Cricetulus griseus: one gene and its partners. Each later gene encodes a partner of the first gene's protein in a complex. Links are inferred from orthologs where the notes say so. Each region holds a gene or a part of one and is shown on either strand. Other genes may lie near its edges. The genes, in order: Wdr20, Wdr48, Usp46 and Usp12.

Region 1 (4,271 bases):
TCAAGGATTTTAAACCAGGTGTGTGGATCATGCCTTTAATCTCAGCACTTGGGTGGCAAGAGGCAGGTGGATTCCTGAGATGGATGCCAGGACAGTCAGGAATATTTAGTGAGACACAGTCTCCTCAAAGAAGAGTTAACTCGTTATTTAAAAAATAAATAAATAAAAGGATTTTATTGTAGTGCTATTTTTTTTGGTCAGCTACAAAGTGTTAGTGTTACACTCATTTTTCACCATTGGCAGTTCTGCTGTTTATATACTTGCTCTCTACTGCATAAAACGTTTATGATTTAAATTTCTTTACAAAGCTCCTGCTTTTTTACAGTTACTTTTTGTGAGCTGGAGTCTTGCTCCGTGAGCTAGGCTAGCTTCCAACATCTGGGCTCGGGTATTCCTTGGGTCTGGAACTACAGGTGCCCACCACTGTACTGGGCTCGCTCCACCTTCTACTCTACAGACACGACTTTCCAGGGATGGTTCATTCTTCGTGTAACCCTGCCCCCCCCCCCCATTCTAGAACCCTATTATAACGTTTCTTATTTTAAAAGCGTCCGTATCCCAGTGCACATACCCAGAAATGGATACACCAAATGGCGATCGCTTAATGCTACTTTAACTTGTGCGCTTGTCCTTAAGTGTTTAGACTGTGTACAGAATACTCGCACTTTACGGTTCTCCTAGCAAACAACTTCAAGTTCCATCTGAGGCTTTGGAAAACTGATTAGCTTTACCTTTGTAAGGCACAGATTCAGTGTCTAGCTCCCGAAGCTATGGGCCGTGACCCTCGCCCCAACACAACCTAGCGTCTCAAGCAGCAGCCAGTGCTCACCCCAGTCAGGTTTCAGGTGAGGCTTGAGAACGCAAGCCCTGCGTAGTTACGCTCTTCTCCCCACCCCGCTCTCACTCGCACGAGCAAAAAAACAAAACCGCGAGGGGCAACGAAACCCACTCCTGCTGTCCCTGCTGCCAAACGGCCTCTGGGAGGCCCCGACGGCTCCCACCGCGACTGCGTGCGTCCCCGCCAGCCCCGGAGGGGGGGGAGAGCCGGGCGCAGCGGGGTCGCCCAGGTCCGCACACCGCGCTGCTGCTCCGCTCGGCTCGGGCTCCGCCCTCCCTCGGCTTCTCCGGCCCGGGGGCGTCGCAGAGCGCCGCGGACTCACCTCGCCTTAGGGACGAACGCCTGAGCCCAGCCCGCCGCGCGCGCTTCCACAAGCGGGGAGCCTGCGCTCGCCACGCGGTACCGAGCCCGCCAAGGGAGCGCACGAGCGAGCGAGCGAGCGTGCGTGCGTGCGTGCGTGCGTGCTTAGTCGCCCCGCCCCCGTGTGTGTGTGTGTGGGGGGGGTGGGGGCTGGCTCTCGGGTGGGCGGGGCCGCGGAGAAGGGGGTGGGGGGCGGAGCCCGAGCGTCCGGGGACGGCGCCTGCGCGGTGGGCGTGATCCGGGCACTTAGGGCAGGATGAACGCTGCTTTCCAAGATGGCGACGGAGGGAGGAGGGAAGGAGATGAACGAGATTAAGACCCAATTCACCACCCGGGAAGGTCTGTACAAGCTGCTGCCGCACTCGGAGTACAGCCGGCCCAACCGGGTGCCCTTCAACTCGCAGGGATCCAACCCTGTCCGCGTCTCCTTCGTAAACCTCAACGACCAGTCTGGCAACGGCGACCGCCTCTGCTTCAATGTGGGCCGGGAGCTCTACTTCTATATCTACAAGGGGGTCCGCAAGGTACCGACCCGGGCGTCACCGGGGGCTCGCCGGCGGCGCGGGCCGCGGCCGGGGTCACCGGCACTTTGGAGTGGGCCGGCCGGCAACTCCGCTGGGGCAGCCCGGAGGAGAGAGGCGGGAGGGAGGCGCGCCGGGGCTCCGCAGGGGAGGGGGCTCCGGGGCCGCGGCGCCGCGAGTCCCCGCGAGTCCCCGGGAGCCGCCGGAGCCGCCGGGAGCCGCCGGCCGCCTCCCCGGTCGGGTCCGTCAGGTGCCGACGCTGCCCGGGCGCGGGCCTGCCGGTCCCCCGGAAGAGGTGCGGCGGCCGCCTTAGGTGGCCTCGCTCCCCGGGCGGCTCGGCTCGGCTCGGCTCGCAGAGGTCCGTAAGGCGGAACCGGGGCAGGGAGGCGGAGGACTTGGAGACTGGGTCAGAGAGGACCGGCTCGGCACGCAGGGCTGCTCCACCTGCTGCCGCACTGACACTTCCTGGGAGCGAGCCTCTCTCTCTTCTCGTGGTGTCAACACTGTTTCCAAAACCCTTCCCGGCAGGACCGCTGGCTGTCGCCGTCCCCGCCTCGGGAGCCTTCTCCCGAAAGGTTGGCGGGCGGGCGGCCGGCCGGCCGGCGAGGGTCATTCTGTCCCCCCGAGGCGAGAGAGGGCTGGGCGCTCACACTTGGGAGGTTGCAGGGATGTCTTGACAAGTGTTGTGAGTGTGTGAGCGTGCCTAGATTTATCTTGTCCAACGAGTCAGGCTGTGTCCCAAACAGGGAGGGAGATGCCTGAAATGCTACTTTACAGCAGCCAGCCAAGAACTTAACAGTAATTCCGTGAAGCATGTCATCGTGTTTGAAAATGTCTGGTTAAAAGCAGCAGTTTATTGCCGCACCCCCCCCCCCAATTGGCAATGTAACCATGTTCTGAGAATTGCTTGTTTTTTTTAACTTTTGACTGTTGAGTGAGGAAATGAATGTATGTACCCATAGTACCTTGGACGGAATGTGACAAGGTGATGAAAGATTAACTTATAAATGTTCAGTCACTGGGAAAAATAAATCTTCCATGTTGAGGAGTGCACACTACCAAGGATTAATATATCCAAAGTTGGTGTTTTTTTTTTCTTTGTAATGCATGGTTATGAGAACATGGAAGGAGATAATTGTATGCAAAAGCAGTGTGTTGCTTCTTTGGCCCAGGGTTTGTGTTTAGTCAGTGTACTATGGCTATGGTGCTGGAAGGTTTTGAAAGTAGCCGGTTGACTCCTCATGCTTGGGATTGGGAAAGTATGTCGTGGTTTGTAGTGTAGGAGCTGAAGTTTTAGTGTTACCTTCCAACTTTGTTACTGACTCACTGGTGATCTTGGATACTTTTGAAGCTTTTCTTTGCATTTCTTTAAAAAGGGAGGGTTGCAGTGCATGTTGTAATTCATGATATAATAGCTGTCATGGCCGTTAAGAGCCCTGACACACTCAGTAGATGTAAACTGTAGTGGCAGCATTAAGAGTAACTGTCAAAAAAGAAGCTGGCATCTCAACATTTCCCCCTCCGAGTACCAGAGTATTCAGGTTTTTCTCTGGAAATAATTTTTAAGACTTTGTTATCAAAACATATTTAGGGACTGGAGTGATGGCTCAGTGGTTAAGAACTGGCACTGCTCTTGCAGAGGACGACCCGAGTTCAGCTCTGGGGAAGCTGAGGTCCTTTTCTGGGTTCTGAGTACCCACTTACAGCACACACACATAACTTTAAAAAAATAAAATAAACCTTAGAAAAGTTATAATTAGATCCTACTGTGGTTGTGCACACCTGCAATCGTAGCACTCAAATTGTGATTTTTGCGGCCAGCCAGGACTATAATTAGCAAGTTCAAGGCCAGCCTGGGCTACAGTTAACAAGTTTGAGGCAAACATGGGCTATATAGTTAGTGGGACCCTACCTCTAAACCCAGGTGGATCTCTCTGGGTTCAAGGCCAGCCTGGCCCACATAGAGTTCCAGGCTGGTTAGGGCTACATAAGAGCCTATCTCAAAAACCAAAAACACCCTCCCAAACCAAAACCAATCAAACAAAAACGATGATGTAAAAATATGACAAGCTTAAAAGTTAAATTCACAGGGCCTGGAAGATGGCTCAGTAGTCTAGAGTACCTCGTGTTCTTCAGAGCCCAGCTCGCAGCTCAAAACTCCTGTCATCACTGCTCCAGCATATTCAGAGTCCTTTTCAAACCTCTTGTGCACCTGCATATTGTGGCATTCACACATGTATAAGTAATAAGATAAGGTTTAAAAAGTGGAATTCACCCACATTAATCATTACTACTTTAGGTATTACTTCCTTTGTGTCCCCTCCCCCTGCAATGTCGGGTGCGGGCAGAACCCCGGGCTCTGGCGTGTTAGGCAACTGCTCCCTCACTGTGTTACACATCCAGCTCTGAAAGGCTTTTTTGGATCATTCTCTTAACAGACTTCATCTGCATTTAGTAGGTCTGGCTTGCATAGCTAAAGACCATTTGTTTAGCAATATCCTTATGATGGTGTTCTAACAGCTTTTAAAAACTACACTAAAACATTCTTTAAA
Region 2 (3,726 bases), on another chromosome or scaffold:
TAACACCTGGGAAATGTCTTTGCTCACTTGAGGGTGTGGAAGCCGTGGCATGTCTGAGCTCCACAGTTAGCAGTGAGGGACCCTGTTCTGCAGTTGTTCGGATCGGTGCCTCATTTTGTGAGGGACCGACCTGGACCCACCAGCGGCCCCCAGTGGAACCTGTGAAGATGTGGAAAAGAGAACAAGCCCTCTCCAGTCCCTGCTCCCGTGGGGACAGAGCACACAGGGGAGGGAGGCGACGGGCCTGGAATAAACTGCCCCTGAAGGCACTTGTGCTTCTTCTGGCTTTGTTCAAGGTTTGTCTTCTGGAGGGTCAGGGGGACCACTGAGCTATCTGAATGAGAAGGACCTTGAGAAGAATCCAAAGTATTTTCTGTCAAAGGTGAAGTGTTTATCCCCAATAAGTTAATAATTCCAAGTCCAAGTGAGTCTATGAAAGCTTATGATTGTTAGAAAGACAGGAAAAGATCTGGACGCAGGTACAGGAAAAGCCCACGCATAAAACTGGAAAACCAAACATGGACCACAATATAAATATCAAACCAACTGACTGTGAGATCTTTTTACTCTAATAACACAAACTTTAGGTAGCATTTGAATGAAACTGAGACTTCAGCATGGTCTTAAGTGGACAGTATCGTGCTGCTCACCCAGGTTGCGAGGCTGTGGTTCCCACTGACACTGCCTCTGAGGAAGACTGGTTGCTGGAGGAAGGACAGTGGCCACCGCTGTTGGGGCTGCTATGGGACAGTACTGCACAACACAGGTGCAGTGGCAGGAGGTCCTCCTACAGACCACAGCTGAGATCCCGTATTTCAAAAGTAGCCCAACATGGTCATTTCTTACAAAGTGGGCTGGTTCTTGAATTGTGCAACAGTGATGATTCCCATTAAAACAAAACTCTTACATGATGATGAAAACATTTTTTTTTTTTTTTTTTTTGTAATGACAAATTTGGAAAAAGCCTTCATAGGTACTGCATGAGTGGAATGTACTTAGAGAAGCCGCAGAACTCATGGGTTTGAAACGCGGTGACAGATGTGGCCCCGCTGATGTTCTCTAACAAGTGCTAAGAGACAGAGGGCCTTCAAAAGGGGTCAGTGAAGTCCGCACGGCTGTTGTAGGTCTCTGCACACCTCGAAGGACTGCTTGGGGCTCCTGTCCTCACACTGAGTCCCTGGGGACACCTTAATCTATGCATGGAGCCTGGTTCTATATTACATCTCGATTAGTGACTCCACCAAATCGGCCGGTGGAGCTCCTGCTCCCGGTAGGGCTTGGTGGGCTTCCTAGGACTACTCAGGGCCCCAGAGGAAGGTTGATGAATAACCCAGGACTTGGCCCCCCTTCACGTGCACTTCTGGCGGTAATGGAGTGTGAGGTCCCCGCCGCTCTTCCAGATGAAGTGCTTTACTGTTCGTAGGTCCATATTTGGGTCCAAAACCTGAACAGCCAAAGTGCATTGAAAACGTCAAGGTCACTAACAGCTAAAGCCACCCTTAACCAGGGACCTGCCAGGTGGCCCAGCTTACACATGGGATCTGAAAAATCCACCAGCAGAAGCAGCTCAGCCCCACCTGAGCACACACACTGCCTCTTAGCTGTGATCCATCTCTTCACCACCCACCTCCACTCCAAATTCTTTAACATGATAGATACTACCCTGCAAATCAAGACGACCTTGCCCCTGTTAACCAGGTGCAGCCCTACTGTGGACATCTGTAAATCTGTGTCCTCTTCCCAAGCACCTCCCTCAGATGAAGAAAAGCTTCGGGTACGCTGAAGAATCTTGGCAAAAGACTGGGCTCTTGAGAGCCTCTGAAAGCTGATGCCCAAGGAGGCCAACTGCTTGAGGATCTAAGCACACGTCACGGTTACACGTTGTGTGACTTTCTGGGTACCTCTGCAGGGAGATGAAGCTACACTCCTCAGGTCCACTCACCTGGTCCTGGCACAGAAGTTCAATTTTCTCCTCTGCCAACACAGCAATATCCTCCTCCTTCTCCTGCTCTGGCTTCTCATTATTAGAAGAGCTGGTGGTCTGAGACTCATTATCCAGGTTGATAATCTTCTCGTAGACATGCTCCGTCACCTTCCGGACCTGCAGCATGTCACTGGCAGAGAGTCTGTCTCTAGAAAAGACAATGCATGTTTTGATACCACAAAGTCTATTATTTTCATTGTGTCAACATCTAAAGAAAAACGTTGTACAGACATCTGTTTTTTTTTTTTTTTTTCTTTCTTTCTGAGACAGGGTTTCTCTATGTAGCTATGAAGCCTATCCTGGCAGTCACTCTGGAGACCAGAGTGGCCTCGAACTCACAGAGAGCCTCTTGTACAGACATCTGAAACCAATGCATGTTTTCAGTCCCTGGATCCATTTGGGAGTTGTCAGAGAGTTCCAATGGTGCCCGTCTAGGGCTTATGTACTACACACAATAGCTACCTGCATTTTAGTCCTTCATGTGTGCGCCTGAACCGAGGACAGACCTGGGCAGATCCACCAATTAACCACCAGGGCTCAGTGTTACTTCCCACTGCTGTGTCTTCAACTAGAAGCAGACAATGAACGCCCCAGGCTAGACATTAAGCCCCAGGCGGCTCCACACCACAAATCCAGCAGCTGGCTTGTCCTGGATCACACAGCTGAAGTCCCTTTCGTCCAGGCCCTCATCTCTGCTATCATTCAACCACCACCAAACCTCATAGCTACAGTGTAAACTCTTCAAGGATCCTGGGGTTCTGTCATGAATCTGCTACAAGTGTGTCTACGCTCGCTATGAACTGATCCAGTGTGTGCGTGTGCAGGAGTGTCGAGGCGAGCAGACCCTCGTGGTGGTCAACCCTGAAGTGTCTCATTGGCCAGTGGGCCAGCTCAGGAACCCTGGGGACAGTTTAGCTGCCCTGCTGGTGTCACACACATACTGATTATGGCTCACATTCCCTTGCTGGCCTCAGCTTCTCTGCCGTAAGCCTCTCTTGGAGCCTTGTCTACCTTACCTATCAGGAATTTCTGCTAGTATGTCATGGTGACCTGGCATTCAAATTCAGTCACCAAGCCTCTAACTCGTCATGTCTCCCCACTCCAGCCTATGTGAGGGAACACGCATCCCCACAACCACTTCTGGTATCCTCAGCCTGTTCCCGCCGGGGAAGTGTGTCTTTGGGCAGTACAGCCATCCGCCCGTGTTCAGGTGATTCCTCCTTCCTGAAACCTCAGAAAGCTGTGCTCACAAGCTGGTTACCCCTTTCTCTTTACTCCCTAAAGGGTCTGTAGAGGCAGCTACTATACACAGGTTTTGTCCTAAACAGAGTCTCACATGCCCTGGAACTGATCCTCCTCTGTCCACCGCTAAGAATAGGGATTACAGGTGTGAGCCACCACAAACGGCTTACTTGGTCTTGCTATGGCGTCTCAGCTGGCCTGGAACTCACTGTATTTCCCAGGCTGGCCTCTTTCCTGTTTCTGCCTCCGAGTGCTGAGACTACAAAGGCATGAGTCAGCAATTATGGGCTAAGCTAAATTCTGACAGGGGACAAGCTCCACAATAACCAGCTTCCCACCCAGCAGCCGTCTCCCTTTCACCACGTGACCATAGGTGCAGTGACTGCAATCAAGAAGAGCAATGGTTACTTACTTTTTTAAAGTTTTTGCTCCTGAAGATGCATGAGGTTGGAGGTAGAAAGGAATTTTGTTGAATTTGGGCATATTTTTCTGAAATATTA
Region 3 (4,239 bases), on another chromosome or scaffold:
AAAGGAGAAAGCAGGAAGGATCAAGTAAGAGACCTGGTGAGAAACACAGGAACAAGTGAGACCCAGAAGAGACCTACCTGGAAACAATTCATCGTTAAGTGAGGTCTCTACACGGAGGTAGAGTGAGCTTGTATCTCACGGTGGGGTCAGAGACAGCAGTCTCCACATCACCACTCTTCTCCACTGGGAAATGAGAATGGGAGGGGCAGAACCGACCTGAGCAGCTTTTTATAAGGGGCGGGGTTTCCAGTTCCCACCCCAGCTTTCCTAGAGTGTCATTCAGACCGGCTTTGCATAAGTGACTCTATGGACTGTTTCTATTCAGGTAGGAGAAGACATGATTTCCATGGCCCCTGAAATGACTGGAAGGTGGCATCACAATGAGAAAGAAAGTACTGAGCAGAGCGGCTGGAACTAACTCACTGAGAACTCATGGCCCTGAGCCCCAGGAACTCATCACTCAACACAACCATTATCAGCCCATTTCTACAAGTCAACAGCAAGGCAAAGAGCACTGTGATCAGAGAAACAAAGCTGGTGTGTGCTGCAAGCAGGACTTGAGAGGTGGGTGAAGAACACCTGTCATCCAGCGTTTAAGGCAGTCTCAAGCTGGAGGTCTACCTGGGCTATTGAGACTGTCTCAAAAATCCAAGCCACAGATAAATACATCAGCAGGATTGAACCTAGAGCCTTACCTTAGAACGCAAATATCTCTCCACTTGCTTAAACAGGAAGGTATTAGGTTTACTTCACTATGGGAAGGGGTGGGCGCGGGTAATGGGCCTTAACTTGGTACTTTTAGGTCACCAGAGGAAGCATTGATTCTATTGACACAATACTGGCCCATTTCTTTCATGCCCTCCCAGAAGCTTGTCTCTCTGGCTGAGTTTCACTGAAAACAGGTTGTGACATTATGTCCAGGTGTGCCAAGAAGTCCTAGCTACAGCAAGGGCAAGAACAAGCCAGAGGCAGACTTCCTCTTGGGACATGCTAGCTCTCGAGTTTCCACCCTGCTTCAATACTGAGAAGTGTCACTGAATACAAACTGGACAAGAACAGCATCACAAGCAGGCACTGAGTCTCAGGAGCCTGTAGGCCTGAGGCCACCCCCACAGGTGGGAAAAACAGCATTCAAGCCACTGTGGTTTCACAGTTTGCCCCAGGAGCTGGGTTACAGCAAAGACACTGAGAAGAAATACATTGTCTTCTCAGGGCATCCATTGACATTAATGCCACTGGACAGGAACCTGTGTCTTCAAGCAGAAAGAGGAAATGTCAAGGCTGCAGGAGCCACTGCCATCATCTAAGGAGACCTGTACCACCAAGCAGGCAGCCATCACTCTGGGAGCTCCTGCATTTGCCTTGCTGGCATGGCCTTGGCTGCCGGTGCTGAAAGCTGGAGCCAGCCTCAGCAGGTCTCAACTCCACCTGAGCTAACACATGGCTCCTTAATGCTCTGTGCCATGTGTTGATCTTGCAACAGAATGTGGGACAGAAGATTTAAAAGGCTGTGTGAGGGGGGAAGGGCAGCCAGATCACCTTACCTAAAGCCTTCTTAATCAGGCCTCCTCAGATTCCCTTTAGGGGCTAGTATTACTATCTATCTGGTGGGGTGAGGGGGTCCCCAAAATGGCAAAAAACACCAGTGTTCCAGCTTGAAGGGGCTCAGAGGGGAGAGGATCCAGAGAGTGTAGGCAGAGCCTGAAGCCCCACACAGTGGGCAATGCCTTACCCCCAAACTGACCTCCCTAAGGCTCTCACAAGTGGAGGTAACAGGGGACCCAAAGGCTGGAAACAGGTCTCAGGGAAACTAAACAGGACAGCAAAGTAATGGGGAAAATCCACACTGAAGTGACCGGTGGGTTATGCCCCACCTCCCACTCCCCACTCCTCATGCCCCCTCAGTCCATCACAACGGTGACATGCCGGGCAGTGCCCAAGCTAAGTGGAGAGGAGGCGGGGCAGGATGACCCCTGCAGACTTCCTCACACCCACAGCTGCCTCGCTCCCCCAGGGCCTGCAAATGTTACTGCCGTACAATCTCTCCTGCAGGTGGGGTAAACTGAGGCCTCCAGAACAGATCCGCCTCCGTGCTTTCTGATACCCGGCTTTACTTCACCTCTCTAGCCAGATTCTGCACTTGAATTTTTTTCCACTGCTTTTATGTCTATCCAATTTCTCCCGGTAAGAGCACTGCTGTTGCAAAGTGAATCTTAAATACAATCGAGGCTGAACTCAGAGGACAGTCAGGGAGTCCGACGAGGGTTTATTTACTGCACCAGGAGGATCTGCGTCCTCCCTCTCCGGGCTCGTACCCTCACGGTCCTTCCCCGGGACATCGGTGTGCCACCTCGAGCCCTTCGCCCCCACCCACCGCCCACCGCCCACACCGCAGCTAGAGGGCGGGGGCATGGGGCCGCCCTGGGGATCCCCGGGATCTACTAGGTCCCCAACTGGGACAGAGGCTAGGGACTGCGGTCAGCCGGCCCTGCCCCGGGGCCGGGAACTTCTGGCCGCACAGCCCCTACGGCCACCACGGCGCGCGTGCAGCTCCAGCCCGGGGTTCCCTTTCTTTGCCTGACTCGCCGCGGGCGCGACCCCCGGAGGCTCGGCGGCCACTCACCATATTACAGATGGAGGCGATGTTTCGGACAGTCATTAGTCTAAAGGTTGCAGCGATCGCGCACCGCCATCTTTACCAGGGGAAAACGGGACTGTCCATGGTGGCGCGCAGCGAGGCCGGGCGGCGGCGAGGCGGCCTGGGGCCGGCTTGCAGTGGGGTTGGCGAGAGAGGCCGGGCGCGGCGAGGGCGGGCGGCGGCGCGGGCGGGGAGTGGCGGAGCGACGCAGCCGGGGCCGCGGCCGGCGGGAGGAGGAGGAGCCCGGAGTCGAGAGGCGCTGAGCCGGGAATCCTGGGCTCACGCTGCCAGCCTGCTCGTCCCCCCGGACTCGCTCGCCCAACCCCGCTGGAAGCCAGCCGTTCTTGCTCCGCTGCCCCAGGGTCCTGCTCCGCTCAGGCTGCACCGAGAGACGGTCCCCAGATAAACCCAGCACCACGGCCTTCCCGCCTGACCCAGGACCGCACCGGGCGCTGGACGCTGGCCGATCGCCGGCCGGGGACCTGCACCGCGGGAACACGAGAGCTCTCGGTTCCCGATTTCCCTCTGTCTGTTTCCCTCTGTTCCTGCTGGTCTCCAACAAGCCTTGAGCTTTAGGTGTTGGTTAGCGGAGGATATAAGGAGTAGGGGTGACTGTAGTCCAACTTTAAAGTTTCTCGCCTGGGTTTCAGCCAGATGGCATCCGCCGGAACCCGAAAAGTAAAAACGACCAGGACATGGGCGTGGCCAGAAAGCCCTAGCCAGCAGTAACCCCGAAGCCTGGGAAAAGGTCTGCCAGAAAGGAAAGAATTCCGGATCTAGGCAGATAACTGTCGGAGATTTGTGACAGAGGCAGAGGTTCTAGGCGGTACTAGAGGCTGTCCAGGAAAGATGAGAACAAAACTTCCGTATCCCCCACCCGCGGAGCTCCTGATCTCAGCTTTGTGAAATGGACGCTGTTTGAGTTTTTACATGTCCTGCAGAAGCAGAGACCTCAGGTTGCAAATGTGTACCCCGCTTGAAGAATAAGTTCATGAGGATTGAAAGAATCCATCTCAAACGTGGGGAACAATTGTGTAGACAAGGTTACAATTCTATGCTTCCCACAGGGAAGCAGTGCTTGTGAAACGTGATAAATTGCTGGGCCAGTGTGTTTTGTGACAAATTAAATTAGGAGAGAAATTAATATAATTGAAGACAGCTTTATCTAGCCAAAAGTAACTAACTGGGGGAAAATAGGTTTATACACATAACATGTGAGAGTTGTCCATTGGTAATTCTAGGACCTGGGGTGGGAATAGAAGACAAACACTACTGACTGAAGATTTGGGGGATCAAGTGGATACTGCATTTTTCAGTGTGTAGAAGGACTAATATTCCTCCTCACACTTAGTCATCCTACCTAAAATTTATTTTTAATTTTTTTACTGCTGCCAGTTACGATATACTTTAGGAGTCCTTCAACTTCTTCCATGACTATGCGTAATAGGCACAATTAGCTCCATAAGGTTTAGAGATCAGGTGTCCTACCCAGTTTCTGCTACCCAAATGGCATAGATGCAGGTGTGCTAACCTCAGCTGGGCACCATTTTGGGAAAAGACATTGGTAAAACACCCAAACTATAACTGGCCAGAACACTGAG
Region 4 (4,229 bases), on another chromosome or scaffold:
CAGGCTTCCTTCTCTCCACTGTTCCACGCCCAGCCTTACCTCTACTCCAAACTCACCTCCTGTGAGTAAATGGAGGACTGTTTCCACTAGTAAATGTGTACAAATGGTTAAATGGCAGTTAAGTCTTTAACTTCAAAGCCCTCACAGTCTAAACCTGGTACGATGATGTACACCTGAAATCCCAAGAGGCTGGGAGGTGGAGGCAGGACAATCAGGCATTCAGGGCAAGCCACCACTACATACCAAATTCAAACTCTATGCGACCTACAGAAGACCCTGTTTCAAAACACCAGCAGAGAAAAAAAAAAAACCTCATAACCTAATAAAAATGGGGGAGACGACACATGACATACTGCACAGCACTTCTGAGATCACAAAAATGCTGTGCAATTGTATGAGGCAAGTGGGCAGAGTGGTGTTGTTCAGGTCAGATGACCTCCTTAAAAGACAGCTGCATAGTCCATGGATGATGGAACAGTTCACATTCCAAGCAAAACAGAACCTACAGGGCCTTTGTCATTCCTGATTTTCACTTTCATAATTCCCAGAAGATGGACAGCAGCCCTCCTTACACTCTGACCTGTTCAGTACCTACTCAGGGAGAGGAGTAGAATTTATTCAAGTATGAACAAGATGCACCTGATCTTAATAGCACCTTTGGAACAATTTCTTTGGCCAGGCATGGATGTCTATTTATTTGCCAAAACGCATACACATACCACATGTCTAACGAGGGTGAGTTTGGGACATCCTTGACAAGAAGCCTTATTTGCTACAGAATCCTGGCAGGTACACTGTATTACTATGTAAATGAGAATTGTCTTCCTCAAGTAGAAAGTAAACACCATGAAAGTAGGGGTTGCCTTTTGTTGTGGGCGTGTTTTTTCAAGACAAGGTCTCCCTATGTGTAACTCCATCTGCTTAGAGCTTGTGATCCTTCTGCATCCAGAGTCCTGGATGTAGAAGCATGGTCGAAAACGTCCTGCTAGAGACGGCCAGAATCATTTCTGTATTGCCAGTGCTAGTCAGCAGGTGCTAAATGTAAACTTGATGTAACTGAGTGAAGGAACAGTCAGTCCATGGGAATCACACCACTCCTGAAGCCCTAGACTTTGACAATGAACTATGACCCCAAAAGGTGTGGAGCTCAGCAATCTGGTAAAATTATCACTGTAAAAGATTCAATCCTATGTGGCAGGTCTAAAGTAATGAGTACAACCAACCCCAGAAACTGTTAATATAGCCCCTTTCTGAAGACCATGAAAGAACAATTATTCACGTGGGGAAATCGATTCTCCAGTGATTCCTTCTTGCTGTGACTTTTTTGATGCTGTGGACTGTAAACCCACGGATTCCACCCTTTTTTAAATACTGTTCCACAAAATGCAGTAGAAAATCCACTTTTCCTACCTGATTCTCCACTCCTTAAAGCAAAAGCACAGATCACTTTCAGGTGGAAAGTCTGGGGATCTCCTAGATGAAATCCAGGACATAAAAACGGAACAGGATGGTGCAAATCTTTGGTAATGTAACTCCAGACCCACACTGCAAATAATAACTTTTTCGGTGATTCATAAATCGCAACCTCTACGTACAAGTTCAGAAAGGAGCTAATGAATTTGTCACATCATGTGGGAAACTGTGGTGGTGCTTCTGGCAATGCACAAAAAAACACGTTTAGGAACCCACCCACGTTTCGCTCTATTCGGGGTCTGTGTACTTCAACCCCACACTGCGGCGTCTGCTCTATTAAAGTAAAACAAATGACAGGAAAGCTAGTGCAGCTTTTCAAGATTAACGCGGACTCTCAGCGACAAGGCTGCCATCTGGACGGACACAGGTTGGAAACCGCAAGAGTTCGTTTCTCCTCGGCGAGTAGAAAATAGAGAACATTTCAACAGCACTCTTAAAACTTTCCACCGTCACACGCCCCCTTCCCGAGCCCGGGCCCCGGGACTCCACCTAGCCCGAGGAGTAACTCTGCCAGGACTTCCGTCCTCCGGCAGGATCGAGACCCTTCCTTCCTGCCGCAGACCCCCGCCCTACCCCGCGCTCAGACCCACGGAAACGCAGCGGCCGCCGCGTCCCTTCCCCTGGCCCAGTCCCCTGGCTTCCCGGTACCAGTTCCCAGTACTCGGCCCCCAGCCCTACTCCCAGCCTGCAGCCCTTGGTCCTAGTCCCCAGTCCCCCGTTTAGAGTCTCCGGCTCCAGCCCCCAATCCCAGTCCCCACCCCTAGTCCCTAAGTCCCCAGACCCAGTACACAGCCCTTACCCCTACCCCCGCCCCTGAGTCCCCAGGCCCTAGCCCCCAGGCACAGTACCCGAACCCCCGGTCCCCAGACCCCGAGTTCCCGGTCCCCAGCTCCGGTCCGCAGCTCGGAGCCCCGGGGTCGGTCCCAGCCCCGCCTGCTGCGTCCAGCACGCCTTCCCCACGGCCACTCGGCCCCGCGCCCTGTCCGCTCGCTCTAGAGCAGGGCCGCGGGCGGCGCCTCGAAGGCGGGGACCCGCCGCCCGGGCCGCGCTGCCGCCGCACCTACCATGGTACAGATGGAGGCGAATTTGGAGACTGTCATTAGGATTTCCATCCGCCCGGCGCCATCTTCCAGACAGTCGCGGCGGGCGGGGGACGCGGGGAGCCGGGCCGCCCGCTCGCTCCGCAGCCCGCAGCCGCACCCGGAGCCGCCGTGGACCCACGCTTCTAGCCTGCTGGGCCGCCGCTGCCGTCGTCGCCGCGGGCACTCAGGCTTCCTCCGGCCCAGCCCCCGCCCGCCCGCCGGCCCGCCCGCCCCCGGCTCCGCCCCGGCGCACGGCGCAGCCGCCGCCTCGGGGCCCGCGCCTGCCCGGGAAGCCGCTCGCCGCACACCCCGCCCAGCGCGCTGGGGAGCGAGCTCCGCGCAAGGCCCTTCCGCCCGGCCGACCTGGCAGCGTCGTGCCGCCCCGCCCACTCTGCCGCCGTCACGCCCACCGCAGCTGTGCCACGCCCATGATGCCCCGCCCTCCCTCGAGGGAGCGCGCTTTGAGGGAGACGGCTCCACCCAGTGCGTGTCGGGGGCGGGGCGAGACGGGGGCCGCGTCCTACTTGCTTCTGGGTCCTAGCGCGGGCACGCAGTCGCCACCCTAACTACGAGAGCGTGTCTTGGGGAAAAGCGCGATGCTTTTTGCCCTGCGGCGTCAGTGACCGTAAGCAGCCTTCGGAGCGACTGACCCACAGCTCTAAAGGACAGCTAGCGCCACTGTTGAGACAGAAAACTGAGGCTATGCCTGGGAAACTGTGGATGAGTTGGAGAGCAACCCCTCCAAAGCGTCCCAAGCACTTGGTGTTTTTCTGAGCCAAACTCCCTTCTTAGAGACTAATTAGGTAAAAAGACAAACAAGTATGCCTATTAGCTCTTTGAATTAACAGTAGTGGGGGAGGAGAGGAAGGGGAGCCAATCCTGCTTGACAGTGGGATATCAACTCGGAATTTTTGAAGGAGGGGTGTTGATGTCCGAAGAAGGAAGCTGCAGCCAGAGTGTGAGGAGCACATGCGCAGTGTTAGCTAGTGGACGGACCCCGCAGAAAATTCATAAGATCAATCGCTACATTAGAAAGCCTGTGGTTTGTTTTGATTGGCGATCTGAGGGTAGGAACCTTTTCTTCCTCCCACAGCACCCCCACTTGTCTGTGGAACTTAGGGCCTGAATTCAGACAAAGCTCTAAAACCTGGTAAGCCTCACTTTATACAAAGCATTAAAGAAACAAAGAATTCGAACAAAATTTAGTCGAGAAATGGATTTCTGGTACATGAATGCTGTTTCCATAGCAATTCCATTGTAAGCGTCGGGGGGGAGGGGACACCACCGAGTACTGCTAAGCTCCCCTGGCAGCTGCCTCTCTCCAGGTGCCTACCTGCATACAGGAGGAGTCTCCCTCTTTAATATAGATACCATACCATGCCAGGGGCTTGGACTCTGGTTGACACCAGTCAAGTCTATGCAGTGTCTGCTTGCTTGGCTTTCGAGCATGGGCCTACAACATCTATGTTTTAAAGGTCAGGGTGGAGGCTGAACATATGGCTTAATTGGTAACGTGCTGTGTGGGGTGTAGGCGTTCCTGGGTTTCATCTCAGCACTTCATAAACCCTGGTATGGTAAGGTCATCCTCAGCTATGTAGCGAATTCAAGGCCAGCCTGAACCACTTGAGTCCTTTTCTCAGAACATAAATGATCATGACATACACCTGTAACCCC

What was found.
Region 2: the proteins of Wdr20 (region 1) and Wdr48 are in contact, whole or in part, in a crystal structure (PDB 5K1C), measured with the Homo sapiens proteins. The link is inferred for Cricetulus griseus from reciprocal best matches to the Homo sapiens genes WDR20 and WDR48. Residues at the interface, in NP_653175.2 of Homo sapiens: Arg20, Ser364, Thr384, Glu385, Asp386, Glu524, Pro525, Leu526; in NP_065890.1 of Homo sapiens: Val191, Lys207, Gly208, Gly240, Gln241, Gln242, Arg243, Cys244, Ile245.
Region 3: the proteins of Wdr20 (region 1) and Usp46 are in contact, whole or in part, in a crystal structure (PDB 6JLQ), measured with the Homo sapiens proteins. The link is inferred for Cricetulus griseus from reciprocal best matches to the Homo sapiens genes WDR20 and USP46. Residues at the interface, in NP_653175.2 of Homo sapiens: Asn41, Ser42, Gly44, Arg151, Lys259, Tyr261, Phe262, Gly263, Glu282, Asp283, Asp284, Leu285, His301, Lys304, Ser305, Trp306, Gln374, Asp375, Thr376, Leu509, Arg516, Met517, His533, Glu534, Arg535; in NP_073743.2 of Homo sapiens: Asn205, Thr206, Ser207, Thr209, His210, Arg213, Arg273, Val275, Phe276, Pro277, Glu279, Leu280, Arg281, Phe283, Asp293, Met295, Gln338, Glu342, Tyr344, Thr347, Ser348.
Region 4: the proteins of Wdr20 (region 1) and Usp12 are in contact, whole or in part, in a crystal structure (PDB 5K1C), measured with the Homo sapiens proteins. The link is inferred for Cricetulus griseus from reciprocal best matches to the Homo sapiens genes WDR20 and USP12. Residues at the interface, in NP_653175.2 of Homo sapiens: Asn41, Ser42, Gly44, Ser45, Arg151, Ser170, Lys259, Ser260, Tyr261, Phe262, Gly263, Glu282, Asp283, Asp284, Leu285, His301, Lys304, Ser305, Trp306, Gln374, Asp375, Thr376, Arg516, Met517, His533, Glu534, Arg535; in NP_872294.2 of Homo sapiens: Glu207, Asn209, Thr210, Ser211, Thr213, His214, Arg217, Arg277, Val279, Phe280, Pro281, Leu282, Glu283, Leu284, Arg285, Phe287, Asp297, Met299, Gln342, Glu345, Tyr348, Thr351, Ser352.

The regions. Positions count from the first base shown.
Region 1 is NC_048598.1:183,271,332-183,275,602, reverse strand, and holds the start of Wdr20 (WD repeat-containing protein 20), read left to right. Parts: upstream 1-1,424; 5' UTR 1,425-1,473; coding exon 1,474-1,722; intron 1,723-4,271. UniProt on the Homo sapiens protein: Regulator of deubiquitinating complexes. Activates deubiquitinating activity of complexes containing USP12. Anchors at the base of the ubiquitin-contacting loop of USP12 and remotely modulates the catalytic center of the enzyme.
Region 2 is NC_048597.1:227,013,768-227,017,493, reverse strand, and holds the end of Wdr48 (WD repeat-containing protein 48), read right to left. Parts: intron 3,716-3,726; coding exon 3,639-3,715; intron 2,133-3,638; coding exon 1,943-2,132; intron 1,445-1,942; coding exon 1,349-1,444; 3' UTR 538-1,348; downstream 1-537. UniProt on the Homo sapiens protein: Regulator of deubiquitinating complexes, which acts as a strong activator of USP1, USP12 and USP46. Enhances the USP1-mediated deubiquitination of FANCD2; USP1 being almost inactive by itself.
Region 3 is NW_023276807.1:140,561,409-140,565,647, forward strand, and holds the start of Usp46 (ubiquitin carboxyl-terminal hydrolase 46), read right to left. Parts: upstream 2,804-4,239; 5' UTR 2,660-2,803; coding exon 2,624-2,659; intron 1-2,623. UniProt on the Homo sapiens protein: Deubiquitinating enzyme that plays a role in behavior, possibly by regulating GABA action. May act by mediating the deubiquitination of GAD1/GAD67.
Region 4 is NC_048597.1:82,630,926-82,635,154, forward strand, and holds the start of Usp12 (ubiquitin carboxyl-terminal hydrolase 12), read right to left. Parts: upstream 2,832-4,229; 5' UTR 2,586-2,831; coding exon 2,538-2,585; intron 1-2,537. UniProt on the Homo sapiens protein: Deubiquitinating enzyme that plays various roles in the regulation of the immune response and inflammation.